Oryctolagus cuniculus: one gene and its partners. The main gene of each other region encodes a partner of the protein of the gene in region 3 in a complex. Links are inferred from orthologs where the notes say so. Each region holds a gene or a part of one and is shown on either strand. Other genes may lie near its edges.

Region 1 (3,500 bases), on a different chromosome or scaffold from region 3:
GGAGGCCGCACGCTGTCTACAATGGTGGGGGGCTTCTACACCAGGCATGGAGGCCACACGCTGTCTACGGGGGGGGCTTCTACACCAGGCATGGAGGCTGCACGCTGTCTACAGGGAGGGGGGGTGCTTCTACACCAGGCATGGAGGCCACACACTGTCTACGGGGGGGGGGGGGGGGGTGCTTCTACACCAGGCATGGAGGCCACACACTGTCTACGGGGGGGGGGGGGGGGGGCTTCTACACCAGGCATGGAGGCCGCACGCTGTCTACAATTGTGGGGGGGGGGGGGCTTCTACACCAGGCACAGAGGCCACACGCTGTCTACAGGGGGGGGCTTCTACACCAGGCATGGAGGCCACACACTGTCTACGGGGGGGGGGGGGGGGGGGCTTCTACACCAGGCATGGAGGCTGCACGCTGTCTACAGTGGGGGGGGGGGGGCTTCTACACCAGGCATGGAGGCCACACGCTGTCTATAATTGGGGGGGGGGGGGGGACTTCTGCACCAGGAACACGGAGGCCGCATGCTGTCTACGGGGTGGGGCTTCTGCACCAGGAGCCTCTTTGCTGCACATGTGTCTGGCTCCAGCTCGGACTCCATCCTCCCCTCCCCCTCGCAATCTTGGCCATGCAATCCCATCCCTGCGCTCCCAACTACAAGGAAAATACAAAGATGTGAATCCCAAGGGAGATGGGTGTTGGGACTCCCAGGCTGGCCGGGGGCGCCGGCAGCACAGCCCCTGGGCCGAGGGCCCTTACCTGGATCTGGGGTCCCCAGCGATCAGGTTTCCGAACTCCCCCAGGATGTAGCCGCCCACTTTGACCAGGTTCTCGTGGCACGCCGGGGCCTGCAGGGCCTGGAAACCACAGCCAGTGAGCTGGGGCAGGAGCTCCACATGGCACAGGGACAGGGACGGGGCAGCCACAGAGGCCGCCACAACGACCGGACAGACGCACAGAGCTCAGACCACCTTCCTGGAGGGCGTACTCGGAGAGGACTCACGCCCCAAGCTCCCAACAGCCTGACGCTAGAGTGCGGGACCCAGGCCGCCACGCGGGCCCACTGCAAGGCGTGGGGAGCACGTACAGCGCCTCGCCAGCAGCTGGGGGACCAGGGTGGGAAGAAGCGGAGGACGAGCCGACGTCCAGAACGTGGTGGAGCGAGAAGGGAGGCGAGCGGCGGCCTCCTGCACCCAGCCCCGGCGCGGCACGGGCCTCACCTCGAACACGGTCTTGGCGGCGTAGCCCTGCACATCGTCGCGGTTGATGACGATCTGGATGACGCGGTACCACACCTCCTCACTCACGTAGTCGCCCGCGATGCGGATCAGGTTCAGGATGGTGTCCACATACCACGTGTAGTCCACGGCGTACTTCTCGGCCAGGATGGCCACCTTCAGCACCTGCGGGGGTGGGCAGGTCAGGGCAGGTGCCTGCGGACCCCCAGCGTCCAGCCGGGCCTTCAGGACCACGTGGTCTCGGCAGGGGTCTGGAGGCGTGCAGACAGCAGACTGAGCCAGGAGACACGCCTCGCTGGCGTGACGGGGCACGCATGGCAGGAAAGGCCGCAACGGCAAAGGACGACACAGCCGCACCTGACACCACCTCCTCCTTAGCCCCACGGGGACCTGGCCTCCAGCCACCCCCACAGCACACACAGATCTGAGGCCACGCCTACTTCTGGCCCCCACGGCACAGCACATGCTTTAACACGCCTGGCACATCCCGGCACTGAATGAAACTCACCAAGCACTGTCACGTGCCATTTACACGCAAGTAAGACTTGAAAACCTCCACGACTAATCAACAACACATCACTCTAAAGCAGTCAAGTGCAGACAACTTAGAGCTGTTGAGACGCCAGCACCAGGGGCCGGGGGTCAGTGCCACCGCGGTTCCTGATCATGCAGCACGGGATGGCCCAGGATCCACGCGTGAGACCGCCAGGCTAGGTCCCCAGTCCCCGGCTTTGGCCTGGCCAGCCCTGGCTGTTGTGGGCATTTGGGGACTGAACTGGTGAAAAGGAGCACCCTTTGTCTCTCAAATAACAAAACCCTTTAAAAATACCCCCGGGACAACCAGCCCCAGAGCCCACGCTGCCCAACACAGGCCTCCAGGCCACGCCCCACACCCCACCTGTCCTGGAGCCTCCTGCTTGGGCGCAGCCCAGCCCCTGGCTCCACGTCCCACCCCTCCCGACGCACCCCTCCCGCAGCGTGAGAGTCGCTCCCGGATCCCTGCTCTCAGAAGCCGCAGGCTCCCGCTGGAGCTCAGCCAATGTGGCCACGATGCCCTGGGCACCGAGGCCCTCACTCCCACAGTGACCTGAGGCTGAGTCCCACCCGGCTTTCCCAGTCAAAGGCTCTCACACTGGCATCCAAAGAGACAAATGAGGCGATGCTTCTCCCGTAGTGGACAGGGGCTGCGGCTCCGGCAGCACTGACCGCTCTTAAACCAGGACGGCACAGCAGGCTCCCCACTGACAGCCCAGCGTCCACTGTCAGAACCGGGGAGCCCACGGGGGAGCTGGCGCCACCCTGCACACGCCTGCCCTGCCTTTCAGACCCCACCTCACTCAGTCTTCACCTTGAGCTGCCTGGCGTGTGCATCTGCTCCAAGGATAGGAACGGCATAGGGCACAGAGTGCACACACAAACCACGGCGCACGGCCTCTGGGTCGCCAGAGACAAGGAAGACCCCAGGCCGCGACTGTGACAGACACACCCGGCATCTACCACGGCAGCCCCGTTCGGACCCGAGTGGCAGAAGTGGCCGGCGCCCAGGACAGCTGCCGGGAGGGAGCCCGAAGTCACGCTGCAGACTGACAGCGCTGCTTAAGGAACTCAGCACACGGTTGGCTGCGGCCCGCCTGGCCCAGGCCACTCACGATCTCCTCTCGGATGGAGTAGTCGGCCGTCTCCAGGTAGCTCAGCATCTCGGCCACGATCTGCTGGGCGTTGCTGCGGTCACACATGGCGTACAGCAGGTCCACGGCTCGCTGCCGCACGCTCACATCCCGCTCCGTCTGGGGACAAGGGCAGAGTCAAGGGCGCAGGAGCAGAGGCTCAGAGGCCACGCCCCCGAAGGACATCGCCGACCGCCCCTACGCCCCCCCAGTCTAGACCCTCCTGACTCACCACCTCCTCCAGGAGCCCAGCAAGCTGTGGTCACCCCGAGGCCCCTGCCCTCGATTTACTGGCCCCCTCTCACTCCGTGCACTTGGACCAAGTGGTCCGGACAGCCGAGACTCTGTCCCACCATGACCTGCCTCCAGGGCCAGCGCTTCTGCGGCCCCAGCCCTGGCTCTGGTGGGGGTCGGGGGAGGGTCTCTGCACTATGTGGTCACAGAGCTGGTCCCAGGGCAGGCTCCAGGCCCCACCCAGGTCATTGTGACCAGATCCCCCCCTGAGGAGCACCTGCTCGGTGGTGGGACCCAGCTCACCAGCGAGCCCTGTCCAGTGTCTGACCCAGGAGGGACCAGAAACACAACAGAACCAGA
Region 2 (3,500 bases), on a different chromosome or scaffold from region 3:
AGGGTTCCACTATCTAGGACTAACAGGGCCAAATACCAGAAAACATGTTGTGGGGTAGGAATAAAGCTGTGCTTTTGAACCTGCAGGGTAACACGGTTTAGGTCGAAGGTGACAAACAGAGAGTGCCACGCTCAGTCTTTACCGCTGGCGTCTCCGTTGAGGCTGCCCGAGACGAGCTCCGCTTCTGTGGAGTTGCTGGATGTGTGCGAGCGGCTGTCCAAGGCGGCCAGGGACTGCAGCATGCTCAGCAGGCTGTTCGAGGTGGGGAACTGCAGGTACTTCTCTGGCACATAACCCACCTGGCCAACTTTATTCCGAGCCTGGGTAAGAGACACGTCACAAGACAGGTTTGCACACATGAACTGGACAGGGCAGGACAAGAACCAAAGCAAATTCCTAGAAATGTCACAAGAAGGGGCGATATGAGCAAAGGAATATACCTTCACCCAGTCTTCCATATCTCCATCTTCAATCACTTCTAACACCTCATGCTCCTCAATGGTCAACTCATCTGGTTGAGAAGCCTGCAGTGTGGGATGGTCATGGACAAAATTAAAAAGGTTAGATAAGGAGCAGGTGTGCGCTGATCACAACAAAAACTGGGGATCAAAATACTGAAATGATTTTGAGAAACAGAAAAATTTTAATGCTGTAAAACTATCATAATGAAGTGAAGTTTTACTTTCAAAAACGGAGCAAAATAAAATCACGACAAAAACTGAAGAAACTGAATCTTCAAGAGGCAATCAGGTTTGGTGAACAGAGCACCACGCTGGAAGTCGAGGCCCTTGGTTCCAGCTCTTGTGTCTACTGGTAAGTCGATCAACGTGATGCCTGCATTTCCTGCCACTCCCTGGAAGACGGGGAAGTCAACGTGGGATGGAAACACAGAGCCATGATGACGTGGGAAGCACAGGCAAAATAGATGGCGCCGAACTGGACCTGTGACCAGCGGGCTGCATGGAGGTGCATGCTGTGAGAGTGCAGAGAGCAATGTCCATGGATTAGATGATGGCTTGAGCACAGCCTGGGGCTGATCCAGAGTCACTGGAACACGTGCGCAAAAGAATGAAATTGTGGGACAGGAAGTGACTGAATGCAATCAAGCTTTGGATTTATTGTGCTCTGACTTCAGTGTGGAGACTGGGCTTATCTAAACACACATATTGTGGTGGTGCAATTAGCCCTGACAGCAGGAATCTGCTAGTACCAGCCACCCCGATGTTGCCCACGAGACCGCTAAACCCGAGAAGAAACTGTCAGAGGCTCAGCAGAGAGGCTGGAGAATCCGTTAAGTTCTGCTTCCCAAGGCAGGGGCGGGATGCATCTCGCGGCTCTCTAGTAAATAGTCCTGACAGCTTTCCCAAGTCCAAGATCAGTTCAAACCATGACCTAAGACTGTACAGTCTTTCAAACTGACAATCTCAGTGTAAATAAAATACCTTCACGTTACACAAACAAAAATAAAGCAAGAAAATAGGTCACTTCTAAGAATAACTTAATGAACATTATTAAAACATTTACTCAAAACCTAGATTCTGGATGAAGCCTTAGGCCGACCAATCAGAATATTCCAGAACCAGATTTTTAAGTAAATTACCTCTTATCTAAAAATATGAGGGAGGAAAAACCTGTCCACTTATTCTTGACAGCTTTTCCAGGAAAATTTCTTTGCTACTCTGAAGCCATAGTATGCCTTGCATAGACCAGCAAAAGGCAATGCTTTCCTAATTTCAGGGAAAAACTTAACAAGTATCAACATGACCAGTCCATAATGTGTGTGAGCACAAAGCAGGAGAGATACAGGTCTTATTTAAATATGTTTAAATATTTAATACAGGTCTTATTTAAATATATTATATAATTAAAATTATATAATTAAAATATATTTAAATGGATTGCTGTCCTCACACAAAAGTCACAGAGGCCCATGAAAGTTGTTTGGTGTACCCCAGCTTGACTAGACCGTCCCCACGCATGATGACCAATTCTTCCACTCTACAAGGTCAAGTCCTTGTAATGGCAACCAAGATCCTACAGAGTTTGGTCCTCATGAGTCGCCTGGTGCTCCACTCCTTGTTCTCTGAGCATATCTGGCCTCTATGCTTCCACCAGGCTGCCCTCCTATCCAGCACACCCTCTCCCTCTTTCCCATAGGATGAGTGGATAACATTTCTGTGAGGTTAGAGCCAGCTTTAGTTTGTTTCTAGGAGAAAGCAACTATAAGACATCTTTGAAACTCAATTTTCTTTTTTCCATTAGAATATAAGCTCCATGAAAGCAGAGGTTTTTTGTTTGTTTGTTTTTTGTTTTGTTTTGATCAATGTTATATCCCAGAACCTAGAAAAGAGCACAACACTAGTACACGGTAGATACTCAAGTATCTGTTGAGTGAGCGGTTTGTCTGATAATATTGTCCTGTAGGGTTTGTTTTGTTCTAATTTGAGAGGCAGAGAGCGAGAGAGCGAGCTTCCATCCAGATTCACTTCCCAAATGTTTGCAAGGCCAGGGCTGGGCAAGGCCAGAGCCAGGACCAGGAACTTAATCCCAGTTTCCAACCACCTGAGCATCACCGCTGTCTTCCAGGGTCCACATTATCAGGAAGCTTGAATCAGGGCCTAGAACTGGGCATCAAACCCAGGTACTAAACAATATGGGACCTGGGTACTCTTACTAGTATCTTAAACTCTAGGCCATATGCCTCCCCCACTCCTTATTGGGTTACGGAAGAGATTAGAAATAAACAATAATAGCTATTAATATTATGCATGGGGTGAGGTCCAGCACATAGGTTTCCCCAAAACTCCCACAGTGGGCTGGTTGCTTCCTCCTCCTTCCATTCTTCTAAGGCTTTGAAGACCCCTCTGACACTGACTGCCAGGGCACTCTAGCCGTGTAGCCCCGTAGACCACGGAGAGGGAGCAGCAAGGGCAACCACGTCAAGAAGGACTCTGGCACCTCTGAAGACTACAAGGCAGCAAGAGTGGCCCATGTGGAGTTCGTGGCTGGGGTAAGGGAATGGGCGGACACAAACCTGGACTAGCAGGGGACCAGTCAGCTGCACACTATGGGCTGCAGGGAGGAGTTCTCAGGGTTTTTCCTACATGTGATGGAAAGCTTAACGAGGGTCTCAGGAGGGGGAGGAAGGGGAATAAAATAACATCCTTCATGTGTTAAAGATAATTCTGGCTGCAGTGCAGAAAAAGGGCTATTGAGAGGCAAATATGAAAGAGAAAGACTCAATTATAAGTACTCCCCCCGCTTCCTTTACAGTTATCAAAGCAATGGCCTAGACCAACACGGTAGCAGTGTTGATAGTAAAAGTGAAGAAATTTAACGTATGTTTTGGGGGGGGGCTCAATAGCACTGGCTGAGGGGAGTGCGGGAACGCGGTGAACTGGGGAAGTGAAACACTGACTTTGTGGTGAGTAAAATGTTAACTGGACAGTAGGACGGGGTGACAGAGATTAAGAACTATTAGATCAAATCAGGTTTGGAAA
Region 3 (3,500 bases):
CAACCGAATGCTTCAGGTCTCAGAGTACAATTCCTTCCCGCATAAGTAATCAAGGAAAACAAGATGGACAGGCTTCCACAGAGGAAGAAAAAATGAACACTTATTTGCAAGAGGCTCCATTTTTATTTCATATTCTGCAAATTCTGCAGGTGAATGATCCAGAAGATAGAATAAAATAATCCTGCAACTCCTATCATATGTGAATCTTAACAAGCACAAACAACAATTTAATGCCCAATAACATTTTCATCAAATAGAAGCAGATAAACACAAAAATACCTTGTAGATTTCCTTATGGGCCCTGAAATGAGTTTCACGTAAGACTTGGGGAACCAACCCTTCTGACCTTGAACTTCTCCAAACCACCACATGTCTTGCTGTTCCAGGACGGTGATGACATCATTTTTGTTAAAATTTAAATGGTTGTCTTTTTTGGCTCTCCAAGGATACAGGGCTTGTGCTTGTAGGCCCTCCACCTTTTCACCCTTGTGTGGAATAACATAAAGGACCTCTCATTACATTGTGATTTGTGACCAATTAAGGCAGAAGCGAACACTGGCACCTCTTCTCCAAAAGCCGTGGGCACACACGGCTACAAAGGACCCTGTCTCAGCATGGCCTGAGTGCTAGATGCTCACTGTTTATCTCCAGGAGTGGAGGCAAAAACCTGACAGCCTATTCACAAAGCCATTGTCTGGACATCTAGAACTCTCTATTCAAACAAGCCAGGGGGCCATATTTATTCGGTTGCATCTGGTTGTGTGCCTTTTACATTCTGAGTCTATTTTCACTCTTAAGAGGTCCCGGGTACCCCCCACCCCCATTTTCAATCTGATTTGGGTTTTCAGTGGAGGAGAAATGTCATGAAATTTCATGAGATAATTAACTGATAGTTCAGGTTAGGTGGACACAGGGACAAAGGCCCTATACTGGATCATGCTTGCTTTAGCTCCTTTTTAGAGAAACAGGAGTTTGAATAGCAGAAATTCATTGTAATTGCCATTTCTTGTACATCTATATGCAAATTAATGTGAGATTATAAAGCTGAACAAAACACCATCTCTGCCTCCCCCAAAAAACTTTAGGGTAATGTACTTTATTAGCCAAAGTGCAATGTGAAAAAATGGACAGTATGGTATCATTAGCAAGCAACTCACAGCTCAGGGAGAAGAAACAGATAAAGACAACCAAGTACATCACTCGGCAGGATGAAATAAGCTACTAAAAGGTTGCAGGTATTCAACGTGGGAGCAGGGAGAAGGGAAGGATGGAACCTGCCCGGGGAGATCAGGGCACATTTCACAGAGGACGAGGCAGCATTTGAGCTGAGCCTTGCAGGATGAGGATTTTGATAGCTAAGGCTTCGGAGGAAGGGTACTCCAGGCCGAGGGCACAGCACAGGGCAAGGCTTTGAGGTGGTACACTGCAAAGGATCCGGGAAGAGGAGCACAATCCGGGGCTGCGGGTGGCCTAGTCTCAGGGAAGGGTGTGGTAGGAGGTGAGGCTGGAAAGGCAGGGGGAGGCATTGATTATCCTTTTGAAAACCACAGCATAAGACCATTAACACATCAGAAAGCACACAAAACAATGTCAGTTTCCAACTGTATCTGCAAATGGACAGAAACTCAGGAAAATGCCCAGAGAGAGTTAATTCAGAGCCAATTTATACTTGCCTTCTAGAGTTATACTGACATTAAGCTGTGATTATGTGAGGTCAATGGAGGATTCACAGCTGGTCCAATAGGCTCAGCATCTACGCTGGCAGCCTCTAAAACCTGTTCTTCTTAGGTTGTTGCTTTCTTAGACCCAACACCCTCACTTGCTCCATTTCAGCTGTACTTTCCCCCCAGACCCTCAGAGCACTGAGAAGGTTTCTCTGGATTTCAGACATCCCCAGGATCAAATATTCTTTGCCTTCTAATTTTGACCTTTCACAGGAACCTCATGCCTGCGTGGCTGCTGATCCCATGGTTCTTCTGCCTGTCTAACCCTCTTGGTCACTTGTCCCTGCCTGGGCGCTATTGACTCCAGCCTGGTCTGGGTCTGAATCCCAGATCTCTCTCTAATTTTGTGATGCCAACAACTGCTTAATTTCTTTAAACTTCAGTTCGCACATCTGTGAGACAGGGATGCTCGTTAATTAAGTTGGGCTAAACCTATGCACAGCACTGCTAAGACAGTAGTAGTAACAGCAGTAGATGCTATTTTACTAATTCCCAGCTATGAGATATTGCCAAAGAAAGCAGAGACAACATGCAAAGATGAGTTACGGAATCAGGTTAAGTTCAGCCATGTCATTTCTTGTTCTTCTTTGTCAAATTCCTAATTTACCTACTCCTAAACCCAGTCTACACTCCACAGGCCCCCAGGAGTCTGTCCTCACCGACAGTGACACCAGGTAGCCCAACCAGACCCTCTTTCTCCACTGCATCTTCTCCCATTTCGCTTCCCCCTCCTCATCTGGAAGAAAACCAGTCCCGTCTGTCTTTGCTGTGTGTTTCATGTTGGACCCACCTTACACCAATTACATTTCCTGATACTTGAGTTTTTGATGCCTTTCCCTACTGGTGACAAGCTTTCTTGTGTCTTGTGTCTTGTGCCTTTCCCATCACCCTGCCTCCATTCTGCGCCCTCTCTCATTTCCCCCTGTCCTGCTCTTCCAACCTGGTTTCATCCTACCCTATCTCAGGTCATGAAGACATTTTACTTGCTGCACTGAATGGTCTACTCCTTGCCTTGACCATAGCCCATAATAATAAGAACAACCTCTCTCTTTCTGGACACAATTCCCACCTCCACAAGTATTCTTATCCCCATACCTCCTCCATCACACAGTCATATTTACGGGACACATGACCCGTGCTATACACTGAGCTGAGAGAGGTGCAACACCTCCATGACACAGCTCCTCTTCTTCCCCTGTTACCTCTCCTTTATGACCTCACACGGGTCCTCGGATTTGTGTTCTCCAGGGAGGCGGCTCCCCTATACTCATATAATGCAGGTCTTGTCCTCTCTTCCACCCCCCAGCTCTGTGCTCCAACAGCATGCCTGGCAGGACTACCTGCATGTCCTGTTTCCACCTTAACCTTAACATGTGCAGAACCTACTCCTGCCTCTAACTAATAATTGATTTTTCTTTCTCTGTTCCTTGTTTCTTTACCTTCCAGGTGGAACCCCCTTCTCACTCCCAGACCCCCTTCCTTTCCTGTTGGCTGGTACGGGCCCGGAGAGGCCATTCTGCTGTTTCTCCTCTGCAGCCTCCCTCATGTGTGCTCCTCTTCTACACCCACTGCTTCCACCCTGCTCGGGACTATGAACCCACCTGGGCCCAGGTCTTCCCTGGTGCTCATCACCTGCACCCTGAACAACAGTGATGCTGCCCACTGGTCCTCACTCTCATCTCCCTGCATCATCGTCTCCAGCTGAATCTGCCCAGTGTCTGCCGCAGTCTGGGTGCTCCCAGACAGAAACTGCCCGGACCCTCTAAGAGCCCCCCG

The links. The genes of interacting proteins can lie anywhere in the genome.
Region 1: the proteins of ITSN1 (region 3) and AP2A2 are in contact, whole or in part, in a crystal structure (PDB 3HS8), measured with the Mus musculus proteins. The link is inferred for Oryctolagus cuniculus from reciprocal best matches to the Homo sapiens genes ITSN1 and AP2A2. Residues at the interface, in NP_034717.2 of Mus musculus: Asn841, Trp843, Ala844, Phe846, Ser847, Ser848; in XP_006536218.1 of Mus musculus: Glu308, Gly320, Val321, Glu324, Gln329, Gly331, Leu332, Lys333, Phe346, Gly348, Asn349, Lys350, Gly386, Ala387, Gln388.
Region 2: the proteins of ITSN1 (region 3) and FCHSD2 are in contact, whole or in part, in a crystal structure (PDB 6GBU), measured with the Homo sapiens proteins. The link is inferred for Oryctolagus cuniculus from reciprocal best matches to the Homo sapiens genes ITSN1 and FCHSD2. Residues at the interface, in NP_003015.2 of Homo sapiens: Pro1076, Ile1078, Gly1098, Leu1100, Leu1102, Gln1117, Ala1118, Arg1119, Gly1120, Lys1121, Lys1122, Arg1123, Leu1136, Ser1137, Pro1138; in NP_055639.2 of Homo sapiens: Tyr576, Gln581, Thr582, Asp584, Glu585, Gln602, Asp603, Asp604, Asp605, Gly606, Phe607, Val618, Pro620, Val622, Leu623.

What each region holds. Positions count from the first base shown.
Region 1 is NC_091432.1:473,252-476,751, reverse strand, and holds part of AP2A2 (AP-2 complex subunit alpha-2), read right to left. Parts: intron 3,027-3,500; coding exon 2,889-3,026; intron 1,405-2,888; coding exon 1,222-1,404; intron 859-1,221; coding exon 761-858; intron 1-760. UniProt on the Homo sapiens protein: Component of the adaptor protein complex 2 (AP-2). Adaptor protein complexes function in protein transport via transport vesicles in different membrane traffic pathways.
Region 2 is NC_091432.1:64,227,226-64,230,725, forward strand, and holds part of FCHSD2 (F-BAR and double SH3 domains protein 2), read right to left. Parts: intron 525-3,500; coding exon 441-524; intron 321-440; coding exon 143-320; intron 1-142. UniProt on the Homo sapiens protein: Adapter protein that plays a role in endocytosis via clathrin-coated pits. Contributes to the internalization of cell surface receptors, such as integrin ITGB1 and transferrin receptor.
Region 3 is NC_091435.1:11,213,116-11,216,615, forward strand, and holds part of ITSN1 (intersectin-1), read right to left. Parts: intron 486-3,500; coding exon 280-485; intron 1-279. UniProt on the Homo sapiens protein: Adapter protein that provides a link between the endocytic membrane traffic and the actin assembly machinery. Acts as a guanine nucleotide exchange factor (GEF) for CDC42, and thereby stimulates actin nucleation mediated by WASL and the ARP2/3 complex.